4 linked regions of the Caenorhabditis elegans genome follow. The protein of the gene in region 4 purifies or fractionates together with the protein of the main gene of each other region. This does not show direct contact. Each region holds a gene or a part of one and is shown on either strand. Other genes may lie near its edges. The genes, in order: zig-12, sec-24.1, F07A11.5 and C02D5.4.

Region 1 (4,727 bases), on a different chromosome or scaffold from region 4:
TCTTTTGTATCTCTTGCTCCTACAAAATATTTTTCATGCGAAAATATTTGAATTACACACTTGAAAAATAATTTGAGAAAGGTATTCCCTGACGTACCGAAGTTTCAAATTACACACACTCTCGGCATCTTTATACAATATCACTCTTACTCTTTGAACTCTCTGAAACATAATATTTGATCTTTTGATACATGATTTTCAGATTGAATGTGGAGTTCCACTGCTGAATTACAATATGGAAAACTTACAAGGTGTTGGATAGAAAAAAGTAAGAATGAAAACAGTTTGGTTCATATAAGTTTATTATAAAATAATTTGTTTTTAACTGAAAAATTGTCAGCTTATGTTTTTACCATTTTTGGGATTCATCTCATTTTGAGACCTAGAAAGGCAATATATTTTAATTTTTAACGCGACTGGGGCATTTAAGTGTCCTATATCGTTTTCCACATTGCTCTATTCGGCCAAGTCTGGTAGCTTATTCTCTGGTTTCTTTCTAAATAGGAAATTATGCAGCTTATTGTAAGATGAGGCCAATCAACTAAATTGTTCTTTGACCCAATGCTAAACCTACATAGTTGAATTGCAATGTGGTCATAAAGAACCGCGAAGAATTGACATTATGAACGTACAATGCAGATATCATCAATGAAACCATGCACAATGCGCACGCCGCGATTTGCAAAAATGTGCACATCATGATCGTCCTATTGTGACAGGTCTATAAATCCATTGCTTTCGAGTTGCTCAGTTTCAAAGTGGCATTTTCATTTAACAACTTTTGAAATCCTTAATACTCATACAACAACCAGCGACGTCATTTCCATCCGTTCCCAAATTGCTCATTGATTCCGATTTCAAAATACTCTCAAATATCCTTTGTGAAGCGTGTCTCGTCAACTTTGCCTTCGCCCTGCAGCTCTTCATTGAGAACTTTGTAAAAATTTTGGGATCTTCAACGTCGACGAGAAATGAAGAGTTAGGTGGGAAGTGCCATCCCATCCACCTTTCTCCTCCTCCGCAAAATCTGTGGGCAGCTCCGGGGGGCTCCCGGGACATTCATCTTTCCCATCTTTTTTCGTCGTTTCGTTCTCCGACTAGCGACCAGGAGGCGGAGAAAGAGCTTAGCAGCAGAAGAAGTAGAAATTACAACACCTTCGTGAAACAGAGAAAAAGATAAAGGGAAAATGGGACTCTAACAGCGACCTCTTGGCACTTTTGTCAGTTGGAAACTACAAGCGAGACATCATTTTTCTCCTCTTCATATTTTTTGTTCTCCTCTCAAATTTGTTTTTTTTAAATTTATTCTTGAGTGCTGATCTCAATGCACAAAAAACATGACTAAAATCAACTGTTATATGTACAAAAAACCAGTGATTCAATTTTCGAAGCATTTTTCAACCTTCAACCATTGGTCTTTTTGCCTTTTTCTTTTTTTTCTCAGCATTATAAAGTGTTTTCCCTCAAAATACTGTTGACACATCTTGTCTAGATCTTCTCCAACATTCCCCTACTTGTGCTTGTTCATTGAGAACATAAAACATTGTTTGCTTAGTTCTCCCACCCAAAAGCCACTACGAACTACCGTTCAAGAAGTCTTTCGTCTCCTATTTTCCTGTGAACTCAATGGATAAATGATGGTAAAAACACATTGGCAGATCATTTTTCATTCGCTCTTGGCGGCGCTCTTACCTGATCAGAAAACACGCCCCTCTTTTCTTTTAGTGTGTAAAACTTTAGGTTACCGAGATTCCGTATATTCATGGCTTCGTATTCAATCATAAAACTACAGATTTTAATTTTTTCAGATATGGCACCACCATCAATTTACGGAGAACCAAAAATTAGATCAGAGAACGGGTCGGTGTTCCTTGAGGTACGAATTTGCTTTTCCTTTTGAAAATTGCTAAGTTTTCTTCCAGGTCATCGTCACTGGAGCTGATGTTTCTAAGATTCAGTGGTTTTTCGGACCAGACGAGCTTGAGGAGAACGAGTTCCTGAAGTTCTCAAACAGTGACGAAGGAGGCAACCGCACCAAGTTTGTTGCCGAAATCAAGGTCAGTTTGAGAGCAACTGTTTGCCAAAGCATCTCGTATAAATCACATAAAACGACTCACGAGTCATTTTATGGTCCCATTGCTGCGATGCGCTCTGCAACTGTTGTCTGTATGTGTTTTGATCTGCGTTTAATTGGTTTTTGATGGACTTACCGTAGATTTTGGGCAAAAGTGCGGCAAAAGCAGAATTAGCTGTCGGTCGGGAGGTGAAAAGCAAAACATAACAACGGTTAAGCATTTGATCAAAAGGAAACTCTAAGTACATTCATCATTACAAAATACTTTTTACTTTACTATATTCTTTATTTTTTTCGTATCTCACATTAAATATACATCAATAACGTGAACTGTAATTTTGAAAATTCAGTAAACATTAAAAAAAGCCGTGCAGTTTGAACTTCACATTAGGAACTATAATTGTAAAAGTTACTAATGATAGTAGTAGTTGAAAAACAAACCACATAAGCTACATTACTGGTAAAACGGAAAAGCAACTGAAAAACTGTCCAACGGTCCAAAATGCCGCAGACTGAAAAAAAAAACTGATGTCCGCCGGTGGTCTGTCTCCATGTCAGCCAATAAGCCGATTGTCGACCGCCCCGGTCGCAAATTTCGTTTTTCTAAGCTTAAAAAAAAACTCCGAACACAAAAACGATTTTATCAGCTGCCATTGGGCCGCTTCTGAGCAATCCCGCTTTACCTGTGATAAAAAATAATCGGAATTATGAATTTTAACTGTTAACAAAACACCTTTTTGCTTCTTTAAATCATCATTTTATAGGACTTTGATAAACCACTTGCCGGAGAATACAAAGCCGTCTTTGCCAACGCCGATGGAGAGAACAGCTCTAACTTCACAGTCGCAGCAGGAAGTGAGCTCATTATCAAAAACACTAAAAGCTTACACATACAATTTCAGACGCCCCAGACTTCCATGACAAGCCACATATTGTTCAAAGAGATAACGGAAATGTGATTGTGATTAAGGTCCGCGCAAAGTCCCACCTTGAGATGAAGGCCGAATGGTTCAAGGTATGTCTGTCACCTTACTTTGAATCTTAGGGGAAAAAATTTCCCTGAATTCTTATTCGGTATTTTTCTTGGCATTGCTAAATTCATTTTGGTTGAACCAGAATAGAGCTTCTCGAAGATGGATCGACTGACTGACGTGTCTTTTTTCTTTTGTCTTCTTTCTTCCACCGAAGAAAAAAATGTAGTTGTCCTAATTTCCACATTTATGTTAGTCGAAGTGAACCTCTCCGGCTTTCTCAAGGGGATTCAAAATAGAAAGGCAGAGATGGGTAATGTAAAGAAGTGTGGAAATAAGACAAAAGTTGGGAGGCCTCCTCGTCCGCGCCTTTGGGTTGTGCCGAGACAGATACTTGAGGCTCATGGAGCAGATAGAGCGAAGTTTTGAGTAGTGAACAAAAAAGAGAAATGGCGCAAAAAACTAAAAGCAAAAAGGTTCAATAAACATTAAAAGAATTCACTTGTTGTCTGGTTCAAAATGTAAAATGAAAAATGAAAAATGAACATTTCAATGGGCATGCTTGGAACCAAGTTTGAGTTTTTTTGGAATGCTTTGATAAATAAAATTAACAAACTTGTTTTGGAAAAAATTTTCTGAACGACCGTCTAGTATAAATCATTTTTAAATTAACAGAAAAAAAGTAAATTTCATATTTTTCACTAATTCATTCTTCCAGGATGAAAAACCAGTGAAATTCACTGACCGAGTTAAGGCTGTTGTAAAGAAGGACGATAAGGACAAAGACGGATTCCAATTCCTACTCGAAATCACCGGACCACAAAAAGACGATGAAGCAAAATACAAGTGCGTTGTCAAGAACTCCGAAGGACAAAACCAACAAGCGTTGAACTTGGTTTTCGATTAATTTTATAAATTTTCCCTTGGTTTTTAATTGTCATACAATTCAATTCATAAAGCCTCAAATCAATTTTCATGTTAATCGTTGCTTCTGATTTTCGATTTTGGTAGTTGCACTTTCCGCTTTTTTTTCTTCTGTAACTTTTAACGTTTTGTAGTATTTGTCTTCTCAAAGTAATTTGAACTTTGTGTCCCATGCACATGAATTGGTATCAGCCAAAATAAAAAAGTTTCTTGACACATTGAACATGAGAAGATATACTTGCAAGTACAGAAATCAATATATATATATACAGTGCTGGCCAAAAAGATATCCACTTTCAGTTTTTTGACGATTTCGATATTTTTTCCAATGGGCATAACTTCAAAACTAGGAAAGGTACCAAAAAATTTTCAACTGGTAAAATGTAGCTCGTGATCAGGCCTATGTATTTTTACATGTTGCAATTATTCATCCATCACATGGCAAGTAATAAAGCGGCGGGCATCTCGTGAGTCCGTTTTTGACGATGATTACTAAAACGACTGTAACTCAAGAAACATATTTTTAATGAAAGGTTTGAGAAAGTAACAAAATGTTTATTTAATTTTTCATTGTTTGAACATATCAACTTTGTCCTAAAACCTCCATTTAAAAAAATGTGTGCGCTGAAACTAGTGTCTCATTAGACACTGTTTAGAGGCTTTGTTCAAAAATCAGGTTTCTTGGATTGAAAATCTTTTTCCGACAATTTTTGTGAAGAACTGATGTTGTTATTATATTTGAACTACATATTAACCAA
Region 2 (6,371 bases), on a different chromosome or scaffold from region 4:
AATTTAAATAATAAATAAAACCCACAAATTGATCAAAATAATTTCAATGCTTTCAAGTTCATAACTCAAAATTGTCATTAAAAATCGGGTAAGTAAAATAAATGCGGATTTGTATAATTCATGACCGACAAAATAAGGATAAAACTTATTAGCATCATAATGGATGTGTTGAGCGGCGGATGCGGGCGGCACACACTCAAAAGAAGTAAAAGAACATGCATTGTTTATCCGCGGCTCATTCGTCATAACAAGCTCTAATAAAGTAATAAATACCTAATGGACGTGAATAGAACGAAGGAAAAGGACCAAAAAAGGATATGTGACACCTGACGCAAGTGTTCTCTACCGATTTCACTTCGCTTCTGATACACAATTACATTATTTTAGCATCGTGCCTGGGAAATGAAGTCTTTAGGGAATCGTAAAATTTAAACCATCCGTCGTTCTGCACTAATTGATCAAAAGTGAAAGGGCAAGGGAAATTCAGCTAACGAAGCCGAATTTATTTGTCAAACTGAAGCTTAAAAGCATTTTTTGAAAAAACTATAAGCACAAAATAATATTTCTTACAAGTATATTCAATAGAGTTCGAAATTAAACATTCGTGAGGGATGTTCAATCGTCTTTTTATCCGATGGGTAGTACCTGACAGTAACAATAATAACTTAACCTTGAGACCATAAGTGGCAGACGGTGAAAGGATTCGAAGCGCCTAATTGCCATTGGAATCGGGTCATTTGTGTTACTAATGTTCCGGGATACAAAAAAACAGTGAAACGTGTAGACACCCTGATATCAATATTTATAGGAACAAAGTTGAAACTGATACATTTTCTTGAGGGTTTGAGTGGGCCGAAAGATTGCAAAAAAAAAGTCAAAAAGTGAGCGAGTGACTAATGTAAATGGAAACTGTACAAACATACTGAATAGGGAGGGAAGAGGTCAGAATAAAAGAAAACTCTTTCCTATTGTTGCCAGTAATGGACGGTGAGATCCAGAAAAACAGAGAAGGGCGGTGCGGTTTGAATACGAAATACGGAAAACGAGAAAGGGATTGAGAAACAGCTGGCGATCTATACCACAATTAGCATAAATAATAAGAACCTCATTAATGAATATCGTGAGGAAATTTTTTTTTTTTGAAACCTTACTTTGAATATAAATGTGTTTAGCCAAATTTTTGTAATTTTGAGCACACAAAAACGTGCATCGATATTATTAATAAGGTCTATTATCACATCTAGTTGGAGTTTAGAAGGATTTCCCGAATTAAACTGAACAAGCAGTACTAGCGGGTAATATTCTATTCAAAACCTACAGAATCCTGATTCAAATAGTAATTTTTAATCGCCTAGGTGTAATCTAAATAATTATCAACATTTCCATTTACGGAAACAAAGAAAAAAGAAAAAAAAACAACAAAACAAAAAATTAAAATTCAAAAAGTGCCGAAATGAAGAGAGACAGCTGTTGCCTGAAGAGACGCAGCACGCTGGGTCTCGCAGCGATTTGCCCACCGCGACGTTTGCGTACACGGTGGATCGCGCTGTGACATGGAACTTTACAGCAAAATCAACGTTCTTTTCGGGATTTAATTAATTTCTAGCTCGATTTCTAGCTTTTTTATTTTGAAAAATATAAAATAATCTTTATACTTGTTCCAGGATGTCATATCAGCCGCCACCAAACGGGCAAATGCCCGGATATCCTCAACAGCAATTTAACCAACAGCCGCAGTTTCAGTCAAACGGATTTCCCCCTCCAGGTGAGTTTATATGAACATTTGCATAATACAACAATTGTTTTAGCAGCGCCGCAAAAGCCAGCTCAAGTCCCAGGTGGATTTCCTCCACCCCATCAGCAACCAAATGGACAGTATCAAAATGGAGGCTTAAATGGAAATTCGTCTCACTTGGCACAATCTGTGAATAATATGTCTATTGGAGCTAGATCAACTCCGTCAGCACAACCCCCAAGTGAGTTGCTTTTTTTTCGCTAATCCGTTAAGTTTAATTTTAAGATCCGTACCAGCCAGCAGGATATCCCGGAGCTCCACCACAGCAATTGCAACAAGTACAGAGACAGCAAACTCCTCAACAGTTCGCCGCTGTACCTCAAAGTGTTCAAGGTAAATAGTGTTTATAGAGGCAAAGCTAAAACTTCTATTTTAGCTCCTAGTGCCACACCTGCAGGTCCACTTCAAGCAATGCAACAAGCGCCTGCTCCGACTCCGGGAATTCCGCAAATGAACCAAGGAGCTCATCTGCCGCCACAACCACATCAGATCCATCAACCCACTCCGCTTCGACCACAAATCCCTGGTTTTCCACAGGCAGGCGGCTCTCCAAGTTCGTTCCAAGCTGGAGCACCCACTTCACAAAATGTTCAAGGCTACCCAGGTGGACCATCTTCTGCTCCTAGCGCTTACCCAGGTGCTCCACAAGTGCCTCAAGCGCCCAATTCGTTCATCCCACCTGGCACAGGAGGATTTCCACCAGGACAACCCACAGCGGGCTCGTTTCCACCCGGTCCACAAGTTCCAGGATCATATCCCTCTGGCCCAGCAGATATTCCACAAGGCCCAGGCATGCCAAGAGCATTTCCTCCGGGAGCCTCAGCTCCAGTTGCACCAGGGATGCCAGGAGCATTCCCTCCAGGACAAGGAGGACCAGGAATGCCGGGATCATTTCCCCCGGGAGCCCCAGGCCCAGGAGGACCAGGAATGCCAGGATCATTCGCTCCAGGAGCTCCAGGCCCAGGAGGTCCCGGCGGATATCCCTCAGGAGGTCCAGGTATGCCGGGAATGCAAGGTGGATACCCCGGCGGCCCACCACAGCAACGACAACAACGTCTTGATCCTAATATGATGCCAAGTGCTGTTCAAGTTATTGATGATGATTCGTCGACTCGTAGCGGGATCTTCCCAACTGGATATCCGAACGCTGAATTGCCGCCACTTGTTTCTACAAATTCTTTCGCTCAAGATCAAGGAAACTGCAACCCCAAATTTATGAGATCAACCCTCTACACAGCTCCACAGACTAATGACATTTTGAAAGCATCGCAGATTCCGCTCGCCGTTGTCATTTCGCCATTCGCATCTCTGACTGAATATGAGGTTTTTTTTTTAATTTTTCAAAAATGAATAATCAATTATTTTCAATTTCAGAAAGAACCACCAGTCGTCGATCTGGGACCACAAGGACCGATTCGTTGCCAGCGTTGTAAGGCATACATTTGTCCGTTTATGGAATTCCAAGATGGTGGACGCTCCTTCCGTTGTCCATTTTGCCATGCTCGAACTTCTGTCGAAGATGCTTATTTCGCCCATCTCGATCATACAGGCAGAAGAACTGATATTGAAATGCGTCCAGAACTCTGTCTTGGAGCGTATGATCTCGTAGCTACAAAACAATACTGCAAGGTACGTAATTAAAAAAATCGCAATTTTCAAAAATTCTAAGTGACATTTTTAGAATGGAATCGCGCCAAAAGAACCGGCCTTCATATTTATGATTGATGTATCCTACAATGCTATTTCAAACGGAATGCTTCCAATTCTTTGTCAAAATCTGGAGAAAGTACTTCGAAATTTGCCAAGAGAATCTGGACAGCTCGAGTCGTCTATGCGTATAGGATTGGCTACATTCGATCAGGCGGTTCATTTCTTTGACATTTCGTCGGCATCTCCAAAAATGCTCGTAATGTGTAAGTTTGATAAACTTATAAAAATTTGTCTAAATATGTACTGTTTTTAGCTGATGTTCAAGAGCCATTTGTTCCTATGGTCGATGGACTTCTTCTCCCTTACAACGAGGCACTTCCTGGACTTCGTGCCGCATTGGCTGAAATTCCTAAACTCTTTTCGCAGTCGAAAACCACCGAAACCATTCTTCAACCCGTCGTACAAGCCGGTCTTGACGCTTTGAAGTGTGCCGACAGAGCAGGAAAAGTGATTCTGTTTTCAACTGTTCTACCAACATATGATGCACCGGGAAAGCTGAAATCCAAAAATGATCGATCTCTTCTCGGGACAGATAAAGAAAAGAATGCACTGGTTCCACAAGAAGATTCATACACGAAGTTGGGAGAGCAATGTGTCAAGTCAGGAGTTACTGTCGATTTATTCCTCTTCCCAAATGCTTTCATTGATGTTGCCACAATTGGTCAGCTTTCTGCAGTTACGGGAGGATCTATTTTCAAATTTCAGTATTTCTCGGTAAATTTAAAGAAAAACCAATAATTTTATTAATTTTATTTTTATTTCAGGCCGATAAAGACGGTGTTCGCATGTTGAATGAGTTGGAACGACACGTTTCTAAGAAAATTGCATTCGACTGCATGGCAAGAGTAAGAACGTCTACAGGAATTCGTCCTATCACTTTTACTGGCTCCTTTTACATGGAAAACTCAACGGATTTGGAATTGGCTACATTGGATGAAAGCAAAGCATTCATCACAGAAATCAAACATGATGATAGTCTGAAAGATCCAGCTTCCTTCATTCAAACCGCTGTACTGTATACGTCGATGACTGGACAGCGCCGTTTGCGAATTTTGAACTTATGCCTTCCAGTTACTGCTGATTACAACCAAGTTTACCGACTTGCTGATCCGGAAGCATTGACAGCATTCATGTTGAAGCAAGCTGTTCAATTGAATCGTGACAAGGGAAGCTCAGAAATGAGAGAATCACTTTCTTCTCGTTGTGCACAATTCCTAGCGACCTATCGAGAGAAGTGTAGTGAAGGTGCCCCACTTGGACAACTGATTCTTCCTGAATCTCTGAAATTGATGCCGCTCTATGTGAACTCTATTTTGAAAAATGATGCGATCAGTGGAGGAAGTGAAATGACAGTCGACGACAAAGTGTGGCAGATGGAATTGATCCGTGGGCTACGAACTGAAAATGTCATGCCTCTTATTTATCCAAGAGTTATGCCAATCTCTGATCTACAAATCAATGATACTGAAGAAATGAAGGATCTTCCAAAACCTGTTAGAGCGAGTTCTGAGTTCCTGGAAAATTCGAAAGCCTATATTATTGATAACGGTGTTATTCTGTTTGTCTGGGTTGGCTCTGCATGCCCCCAGACATGGGTTCAAGACGTGTTTGGTGTTGGTGCTACAAATCAAATTGATACCGAGAGTGTAAGTTATCAATTGCTACGTTCAATTAGTCAATTACATTTTTCAGGGAACAATTCCGGAAAAAGACAATGGTCATTCACGTGCTCTTCGTCGTGCAATTCAACTTTTGCCACGTGGGATCCGAGAGCGAAAAACGTTCGTTGTCGTGGAAAAAAGCGGCCTTGAGCCATGGATGAAGAAATTTTTAGTGGAAGACAAGGCTGGTCCTGCTAATATGTCATACGTTGATTACCTTGTGGATATCCATCGCAAAATCCGCGATCTCATTTCCTAAGTCGTTGATACTGTGATAGAATTGCTTCTCTTGATTGTTCCCTTTGTTCTTCCTTCATATTATTTTGATCACGCCAAAGCAAATCTTGTGATTAGAAATGTTGGAAGAATTAATATTTTGTACCGGTTTCTTTGTACACATTCATTTCCTTCCCTCTCGCCGTACTATTTTCTTTTAATATTATGGAGCATGGTTTGTAAAAATTAAGATATTAGCTTTCCTAGCACCTTATCAGTGCAAAAATAGAATTTGTTTTATCTGCTTTTTCCCAGATTCCTAATTTATTCTTTTCCAGTTGCTCTCGCGACTTTTAGAGATTTCTATTTATTGTTCCTTTTTTTGTAAAATATCCCCTATTACCCCGTCCATATAATTTATTGTGATTTGAAATGGGATCGAATGTGTTTAATTTGATGGTGTCTTATGAAAATAAAATGTTTTTGATTAAACATTTGAGAATCGAATATGTTGACTTTGTGAATATTATATTTTTGAAATTCACTTCGGTGTAATGTTAACGCGCTCTAACGCAATTTGCCGCGAAATTTCAACATTGACAAATTTGCCTTCTTGAATTGATTTTTTTCTTTATTTTAAGAATGGAAACCGCTTGGTCCAACATCCTAAACTATAAGAATGTCTCAGATCGATACATTCTCACTGAAAAAGATAAAAAAGGTATTTATATTTTGCTCTAAGCTTTAAAAAGTTATTTTCTTTCAGGTGCGTTCACTAGACAGTACTTTGAAGTCTACGAAGCTCGCTTGAAGGAACTGAAACCTCGTATTTTGGAAAATGCAGAACGTGAAATTGGTTAGAATTATAATATTACTAATAAACCTTAATTTTTATCTTCAGGCAAGGGAAAATTCACGCATTCACAATTGAGCGATGCTAAACAAGACGAGGAAATCTTCGTGGTCGGCGTTATTGTAAAGAGAATAGC
Region 3 (4,643 bases), on a different chromosome or scaffold from region 4:
GTATGATCTAACGGGAGTAGTATGCCATAGTGGAAACAGTTACTTCGGTCATTATATTAGTATGGGTCGACTCGCCGATTTTGATTCGTCGAAAACGAAAATCGAATGGAGGAATTTCGATGATTCGACGGTGGCTCGGCAGTCTACGAGCACTTTACAAACGGAGGATGCTTACTTACTCTTCTATAAAATGAGAGATCAGAATGTGACGAGGAGTATATTCAAGTGAGTTGGAAACCCCAAGAACTATAAATCTGGGAAAGAATTTCCTGAAATTCAAGAAAATCGATAAATCCTGAGAACGGCTTTTTTTGAGACGAAGACGTTCAAATAATTGAGATAGTTTCCAGCACGGTATTGATAGTATGATAGTTGATTAGAAAGCACTATTGTAATAAGCAAATTGATAATTGAATTTGTAAGCATTGGATAAAAGTGAGAACTGATTGATTCAGCTTCAGATTTGGACAATTTATATATTCCAAATCTAAATAATAAGTTCCACGACCGAGGTCACGCAAATTGAAAATTTTTTTCTTAAATTTTTCTTTAAAAAATTAAATAAAAATTTTGGATTTCAATAATAAGAAACCGTGATTTGCTTGTTTTTTCAAAACTTTTAGGCAAAGATTTCATAAATCGCCAAAAAATTGTGAATTTCTGTGGTTATTTAAGATATCCTGCAGGTTCGAGCTCCTAGAATTTGAAAAAAACAATTAGTACGAAATTAGTAAAAAAAAACCAGGATAACATATTTTGACCGACTTACAAGGTAATGCTTGAAAACTGAATGTTCAGAACTTTTTCACTGGAATAAAAATTTCAAAAAAGGTTTTGAAAGTTTTTCCATAATATTTTTTATTTTGGAACTAGTTGTTCATTTTCAAACTGATGAGTTTTTTTTTTTTTTTAATGATTTAATTTTTAATGATCACCGCGCTGGGTTTTTATCAAAGTAACCTATTCCGATCAATGAACAATTTTTTATTTCAGACGCCACTACTCGTGTGATCCTGGAGCTCCAGAAGAAGTCAAAATTTAGTCATTTTTCTAGATTTTCATAAATTCATCAATTTTTTTTTCCACGTGTTGTTCATTGTCTTCATTTCTTTCAAAACCTGTTACCATGTTTTTAGATATTACATCTTTGATTTAATATTTATATATTTTTCATTAATTTTCCTAATTTTATTGATTATTAAAATAACAATTGTTTGAATCCACGGAGACCGGTTTCAGTTTTTTTTTTGTTCCCCGAAGAGAATAAATTAATTTCAAAATTAAAATTCTGTCCTTGACTGCAAAGGAAAAAAAGAAAAAAGAAATCAAGATAAGCCGATGAAAATTGATAAGAAGGGGAAAAGATAAGATACGAGTTCCAAATATTATCTGTTTTTAGTTCAATGCATTTTGAGGCCATTCACGTGCCATTTTGCAGGCCTACGTGCCTGCCTATCGCCTGATTTCTGAATTTTGGCCCGTGATATATGACGCCATTGTTTTGTTTTTTTTTCACATAAAATCACTGTCAGTGAAAATTTTTAAAGATCAAAAAAATAACCAAAACAATTAATTTTTGATCACAATTTTATCTGACCTGAATGGTTTAAAATGGGAACATTATCTGTTTGGGAACCTTCAAAAAAAATTTTTTTGCTTTTTTTAAAATTTGCTTTTGGTTTTTGAAAGCTTTTTCTAGGAATTATAGGGTCTGTCATCATTGTAGGTTCTTCATGCGAACGGGCCTACGTGCCTGCCTACAAATTATTTGCTTCGCTTTCAAGAGGACTAACATGTTTCCTTTCAGTAGAGTGTAGGCATGAGGCAGGCAGGCATTTTTAGCCACCTAAAAAATTTCTGGAAAATAATACTACGTGTGTCTTATTCTCTTACCATAACTGACCAGCTGCCAAATTTGTTGGCAAACAGTTTTTGCCCTCAACAAGCTAACCACCTGATTCTCTTTCTCTCTTCTCTTTTTTGTGTTTCTTTGATTATTTGACACGTGCTATCAATCGCATTTTTATTTTTTTATTTCAGAATTTTCTAAATTAAAAAAAAAGCATATCGTTATGTCAAGTGAAAACCAGAAAATCGTGGTTTTCGGAAGTATCGTTCAGGATCTTGTCAGGTCTGTTTTTTTTAAATTTTATCTTTCATTAAACAATTTTACATTATAAACTACCAATTTCCAGCTACACAGATAGTTTCCCAAGACCTGGAGAGTCGGTGCGCGGTCACAATTTCAAGCTGGGCTCCGGCGGAAAAGGCGCCAATCAGGCAGTTGCTGCGGCTCGCCTAGGGATCAATGTCTCAATGATTGGAATGGTTGGAGAAGATATGTTCGGAGATTCTAATATTAAGGATTTGAGCAGCAATGGAGTTGATACAAGTTGTGTGGGACGGACCAAAAAGACACATACCGCCACAGCGACTATCACTGTTAACAAAGAAGGTTTGTATCCGAGTTTTGGCGGGAAAAAAATATTTAAGATTATGTGTGGCCTCTTGAATGTCTTGAAGAAACATTCAATATTTGTAGCAAGACCCTACCTCTAAGAAAAAATTGCCAACCGGGTTAAGAATAAGTTCCTATAGCTATATCTGTTCTTATAGCTCGTAGATCACTGAAATTCTAATTTTGTTCTGAAAACGATTTGTCTACGTTCATAGAATCTATTTTCTCTTTCTTTTTCCCCCATTTTTTTGGTGACGTAATATAAATAACTTATTATTTCGAAGAACCTTCAGTGACGACGACAAACAAATAACTTTGAACTGGAACTAATAGTAAGAAGTGGGGGAGAGAGGGTAAGGAGAATTACAAATTTTTAGACTCAAAAAGTGAGCTCAAAATGTGATGCATCTAGTAGAAAATTGGAATTTGACATATGTAGAAAAAATATTTCAAATAGCATCTACAGACATGAAAAGTTCGATTTGTTACAGTGCAATTGAGGTGTAAAACTATTAAAATATGGTAAATTCGAAAAATTAAATTTTCTTGATTTTCAGATTTACATGAGACTTACATTATTTCAAATCCAAATTCCAAAATTTCCAGGCGAAAACAACATTGTGGTGACGCTGGGTGCAAATCTTGAAATGTCGCCTGAAATCGCTGATGCGAACTCTTCAAAAATTGCTGGCTCGAAAATGGTCATTTGTCAGGGAGAAATTGACGAAAAAGGAAATAGAAGAGCCTTCGAAATTGCTAGAAGTCACGGAGTCACCACTTTTTTAAATCCAGCTCCTGGGGATCCGAATATGGATAAGACGATTCTCGAGCTGGTTGATATTATTTGTACCAATGAGAATGAAGTAGGTCTATGTTATTTTTTCTAATCAATTGAACTTTTCCAAATATTGTTCTGAACAAAAAATAAATTAAATTTCAACTTTCCAGGCGGAATTCATCACTGGAATCGCTCAAAACAACGTGAAAGACGCTGAAAAAGCAGCACGTGCAATGCTCAAAATGGGACCTCAACATGCGATCATAACTCTCGGAGGCAAAGGTTGGGGGACTTACACTGGGATAATTTGAAACAATAAATTTTTTTTTGAATTGTAGGTGTCCTGCTTGCATCCAAAGGAGTCGATGATGTTGAGCATACCGCCGTGATCAAAGTCGATGCAGTTGATACTACGGTAATACTAAAAAATAAATTTTGTCCGAGCTTGGGTCCCACCACAATATATTTTTTGAAACGAAAGAAATTAGTTGCCTTTCTAGTTATTTTTAGTTAAAAATGTTGTGCATGGGCCTCTAAAAAACTACTTTATCAAAATCAAAATTTTTGGCGCAAGTTTTCTACAGTAACCTGGAGGAAATATGAACAAGATCAATCTGCATATAGGTATAATATTAATTGAAAATTCCAGGGAGCCGGTGACTGTTTCTGTGGTTCACTGGCTGCTCATTTGGTTGCCGGCCATCCGATTTCCGCATCAATACGCTCGGCTGCCAACTTGGCCGCACTTTCTGTGACACGTCATGGAACTCAATCGAGTTATTGGAAGCTCGACGAGATTCGCCAACAATACCCGGAATTCTTGCCTTAAAACTTATTACAGTGTCTTTCAAGAAATTTGTGATTAGGTCTGAAATAAAAATTCTGCTTTCCAAACACATTTTATACTTTCAATATGTTTTAATTAGCTGTTGAACATTGCAGGGAGCCTGAATTTTTTGAAAATTTGGAAATTTACCGTTTAATGTTAATGTTTGTTCCAAAATAACACAATTCTCCTATAATGAATTTCTTTCCCGTTTTGTTATTTTCCTTTTCAACAAATTTAAATGCTGAAAATTTAATTTCCAGAATCGCATAGTCATTGTGTATAAAGAAATTTGCGTAAATTCAATTATTTCATTGTTTTCGTTTTTCGAGCGAGTCGAGAGCTTCTCCGATAAAAATACAGACGAAAGACAAGAATGATGAATTAAATAATATAAGAATGACGACAAATTGGAAAATGTTTAAATAGTAGATGGGACGGGGGGGGGGGGGGAGGTCTTAAACTAACATTTTACGAAAACTGATCCGCTATTTTCATGAGAGACTTGAATTAGTGTCTAGTAGGGAGGAAAATTGAGAAAGCGGTGTGCCAAAAAGACAGAAATCCTTCCGGCGGAATGA
Region 4 (3,482 bases):
AAGAAGCTCGGCAAACTTATCTCGCATTCATTTAAAGTTTGAATTTATGTTCTTACTTGATTAGACTGGAAAAGAAAAAGAAAAACACATGTTTAATTGAAACTTCAATAACTTGTTCTAGCTTCTGTGACCTTTCCAATCAGAACAATTATCACGAATGATTACTTGTGCTTACTCAATTTCATGTACTTTTGCTTAGAATTGATGTAAATGTGTTCAGAACCATAGAAAAATTCCGAAGTTTTCGAAATGCAGTTACCGTCCACTTCCATTTCAGAATTTCATGCTTCATATTATCAGCATTTGAAGGCCTACTCCCATTATCCAGTCTGATGTGTAACCCACACTATGTGACGAATATTCTGATGAAATTTAGTAAGCACAAGTTATCATTTTTAACAGTTATTTTTATCGTGACTGTCACAAACTCCAATTTTCTTTTCGAACAATACCGACCTGGTGCATTTTTCTTGAAAGATATTAATCTCTATATTGCAATACAATATTGTAAGATAGTTCAAAGTCTTAGAATTGGTCTACATAACTCCGTAATTGGAATTAAAGTAAAGGCACCGGACTACCTACCGACCACTCATTGTCAGCATTTGGCACTAGCTTCTTGCCAAAGTTGGCCAAACGTTTATAGTTTTCTGCAATTTTTTGTTACTTTTTAGTTGAGTGGTATAGTTGTTGGCAGTAGGTGCGCTTGTCGACACGAGGCAGGTATTTCTGTGCCTACAGGCCTTCTACTTCAGACATGATTTCTGCAACAATTTAGATGACTAAAATCTGATGAAATTGGGAAATCGCCAGACATCATTTTCTAGAAACATTTTGATCGCAATGATCTTGGCAGAAAGTCTATTTCATTATCATCTCATCTTTAAAAGAACATAATTTTTAAGAAAAATCTATTGGCAAACTGTGTTTCTACTTTACTTCACAGGAAGAGCAACGTTTGTGTGTGTCTGTATTTTGTGCCAATATGTGGTTTGTAGCACAGCTATGCTACAAAGTTCAAATTCGTTTTGAAGGGGGAGAGAGGAACCCCGTGATTTCTGTGTTGTCTTATTCTCATCATTAAACTCTGAACATTCAGCAATTTTGATCCATAATACTCAAACTTCTAGTTTCATCATCCTCATCTTTTCTGGTGCCCCATTATCCTCTGATTCTAAAATATAGTTTTCCACCGTGAACTTCTCAATTTTTTCCAAATTCTTTAGCGTACTTTACTTCTGAAAAACTGTGCAATCTCATTTTCAGAATCTCCACTCAATTTTCATTCATTCAGTATGCAAACTATAAATTCGAGGTAATTTAAGGATCAAAAAGTCCTTGGGAAGGTCAATAACCAATGACATGCCGCGAAGAAAAACGCAGGCAATCCTTGAAAAGAGACGATACGCAGACTATTAAACAGAGATGTTTGTCATCATTTCTGTCTTCTCGTTCTTCTCTATTTCACTCTCCTCCATAAAAAGACTATTTATACCAAACTATTCTTCACTTTGAGCATCACTTTCTGAAGACTAGACTTAATTTTTGCCTTCTTTAAAAATCTGAAGTATTGAAGATTTTATTTCATTTAAATTTGATTTAGAACTCTTGTCTTTTACTATTCCATCAAAATATAAATTAAATTTTCAGACTTATTCGCCGATTCATTTCTCAAAGAAACATGACAGTGCTTGCTGGAGTAAACAGTAAAATCGTCAAAAATGGTAAGGCTTCATTTCCAATTTTAGTTCAAGAATTCCCAAAAAAAGATAAAAAATTAATCACAGAGTAATATAATAATTGTATGTCCATATTGCATATGCAATACTATTTTTCTCAATCAATAACTTCAAGTGCAACTCTGATAGGGTTGCAATTCTTTTTCAGGGAAAATATGGTATTTAATTTGCTCAAATTGTAAAGAAGTGTTCCACTTTATCAAAAAATAGTTGGATATGATTAAAGTTCAAGTTTAATATTATTTATTAGAAAATCCTATCTTAGTTTTGCGGAAATTTAATATTATTTTTTCAGGTGACCCAGCGCCAGCTCCTCCGGCTGCTGGAACCATTCGTATCTACAACATGCGATTCTGCCCGTGGGCTCAACGTGCTCTAATCTATGCATCTGTTAAAAATATACCGAGCGATGTTATCAATGTTCACTTGCAAGAAAAACCCGACTGGTACTTCTCAAAACATTACAAAGGACAAGTTCCGACATTGGAGCACGACGAAGGAAAGAAGCATGTTATTGAATCAGCTGTGATTCCAGAATATTTGGATGATATCTATCCAGAGACTCGTATTCTTCCAACTGATCCTTACGAGAAGGTTCAGCAAAAGTTATTGTTGGATAGAATCAGTGGACAAGTGTCACCTGCATTCTACGGAGTCGTTCAAGCTGTCAAAAATCCAGATCTCCGCGAAGAAAAATTTGCGGATATCAAGAAGGCGTATGATAATGCTGAGCAGTTATTGACTGGAGATTTCTATTCAGGTATTTTTTAAGAATTAAGATTGAGAATGCGAAACTTATAAAGAACAGAAACTAAGTTGTAGTTTTAGTCTTGTGTATTTTAAAATTATTTGAATTAATTTCAGGAACCTCAAAACCTGGATTTGTTGACTATCTTCTCTACCCGAACATTCAACGCGCTTACTGGGCAGCACACATAGTTCCAGATTTCCCATTGGAAGCTGAATCGTTCCCAGGACCAAACTATCCAAGACTATCCAAATGGTACAAGGCTCTGGAATCGATTCCAGAAGTTGCCGCTGCCAGTCAGCCAACAGAGAATGGGGTTGGATTCTTCAAGGATTACCTCGGTGGATCTCCAAACTATGACTATGGATTGTAAACATTTGTTATTATATTTTTAAACTTTGTGTTGTGGATGTGAATATGTGGAATTTAATAAAACATTTCTCGATATAATAATGATTTTGTTGAATTAGAAAAATTAGAAAAGTGGACGATTCTAAAAACAAAAGTTACAACGAAAATCATCGAAGGAAAAAACAACTGAATTCCAAAATAGTTTTCAGAGGTGATCACAAAATGTTCTCAAACGATATATATTCTACCATCAATAATTTTATTGGCACTATATCACAGTCCATAATTCCTGTGCTTTAATTATACTTTTCAGTATAGAACAATATGCTATATTATCAAGTTATGCGTCCAATAAACACAATTTATTTTTCAGACTGAATTTAAGCCATATTGAGAATAGCGAAATAAAAACGTAGAGGAAATTTGTGATCGCCATTCACAATTAATTCTTAGATCGCAATGATAACAAACTTCGATTCAAAAGTCATCATGCAAATTCACCGTTCTCGTGTGTGTGTGTTTTTGGAGGAAATAACACAATTTTGTGACTGATTTTTTTACAACATGTGGTTTGTAGCATAGTTCAAAGTCATTCTAGAGGGGGCTCAGAGGGAGTTCTTTCGCTATGTCATCGTTTGTTTTTG

The links.
Region 1: the proteins of C02D5.4 (region 4) and zig-12 fractionate together in Caenorhabditis elegans (co-fractionation; one large-scale study listed by BioGRID). This does not show direct contact.
Region 2: the proteins of C02D5.4 (region 4) and sec-24.1 fractionate together in Caenorhabditis elegans (co-fractionation; one large-scale study listed by BioGRID). This does not show direct contact.
Region 3: the proteins of C02D5.4 (region 4) and F07A11.5 fractionate together in Caenorhabditis elegans (co-fractionation; one large-scale study listed by BioGRID). This does not show direct contact.

The regions. Positions count from the first base shown.
Region 1 is NC_003284.9:8,762,099-8,766,825, forward strand, and holds zig-12 (Ig-like domain-containing protein), read left to right. Parts: upstream 1-1,808; 5' UTR 1,809-1,810; coding exon 1,811-1,876; intron 1,877-1,922; coding exon 1,923-2,057; intron 2,058-2,838; coding exon 2,839-2,929; intron 2,930-2,976; coding exon 2,977-3,089; intron 3,090-3,234; exon of another isoform or gene 3,235-3,380; intron 3,381-3,763; coding exon 3,764-3,952; 3' UTR 3,953-4,182; downstream 4,183-4,727.
Region 2 is NC_003282.8:11,561,486-11,567,856, reverse strand, and holds sec-24.1 (Protein transport protein Sec24C), read left to right. Parts: upstream 1-1,662; 5' UTR 1,663-1,665; coding exon 1,666-1,765; intron 1,766-1,808; coding exon 1,809-1,976; intron 1,977-2,020; coding exon 2,021-2,128; intron 2,129-2,171; coding exon 2,172-3,118; intron 3,119-3,169; coding exon 3,170-3,424; intron 3,425-3,476; coding exon 3,477-3,708; intron 3,709-3,758; coding exon 3,759-4,219; intron 4,220-4,269; coding exon 4,270-5,151; intron 5,152-5,197; coding exon 5,198-5,425; 3' UTR 5,426-5,871; downstream 5,872-6,371. Other genes in the region: pold-2 (putative DNA polymerase delta small subunit), read left to right, coding at 6,025-6,103, 6,149-6,238, 6,284-6,371.
Region 3 is NC_003280.10:11,610,265-11,614,907, forward strand, and holds F07A11.5 (Ribokinase), read left to right. Parts: upstream 1-2,035; 5' UTR 2,036-2,072; coding exon 2,073-2,131; intron 2,132-2,195; coding exon 2,196-2,455; intron 2,456-3,064; coding exon 3,065-3,321; intron 3,322-3,406; coding exon 3,407-3,518; intron 3,519-3,574; coding exon 3,575-3,651; intron 3,652-3,885; coding exon 3,886-4,065; 3' UTR 4,066-4,127; downstream 4,128-4,643. Other genes in the region: F07A11.4 (ubiquitinyl hydrolase 1), read left to right, coding at 1-225, 994-1,042.
Region 4 is NC_003281.10:8,550,905-8,554,386, forward strand, and holds C02D5.4 (Glutathione S-transferase omega), read left to right. Parts: upstream 1-1,650; 5' UTR 1,651-1,681; coding exon 1,682-1,724; intron 1,725-2,034; coding exon 2,035-2,499; intron 2,500-2,603; coding exon 2,604-2,860; 3' UTR 2,861-2,926; downstream 2,927-3,482.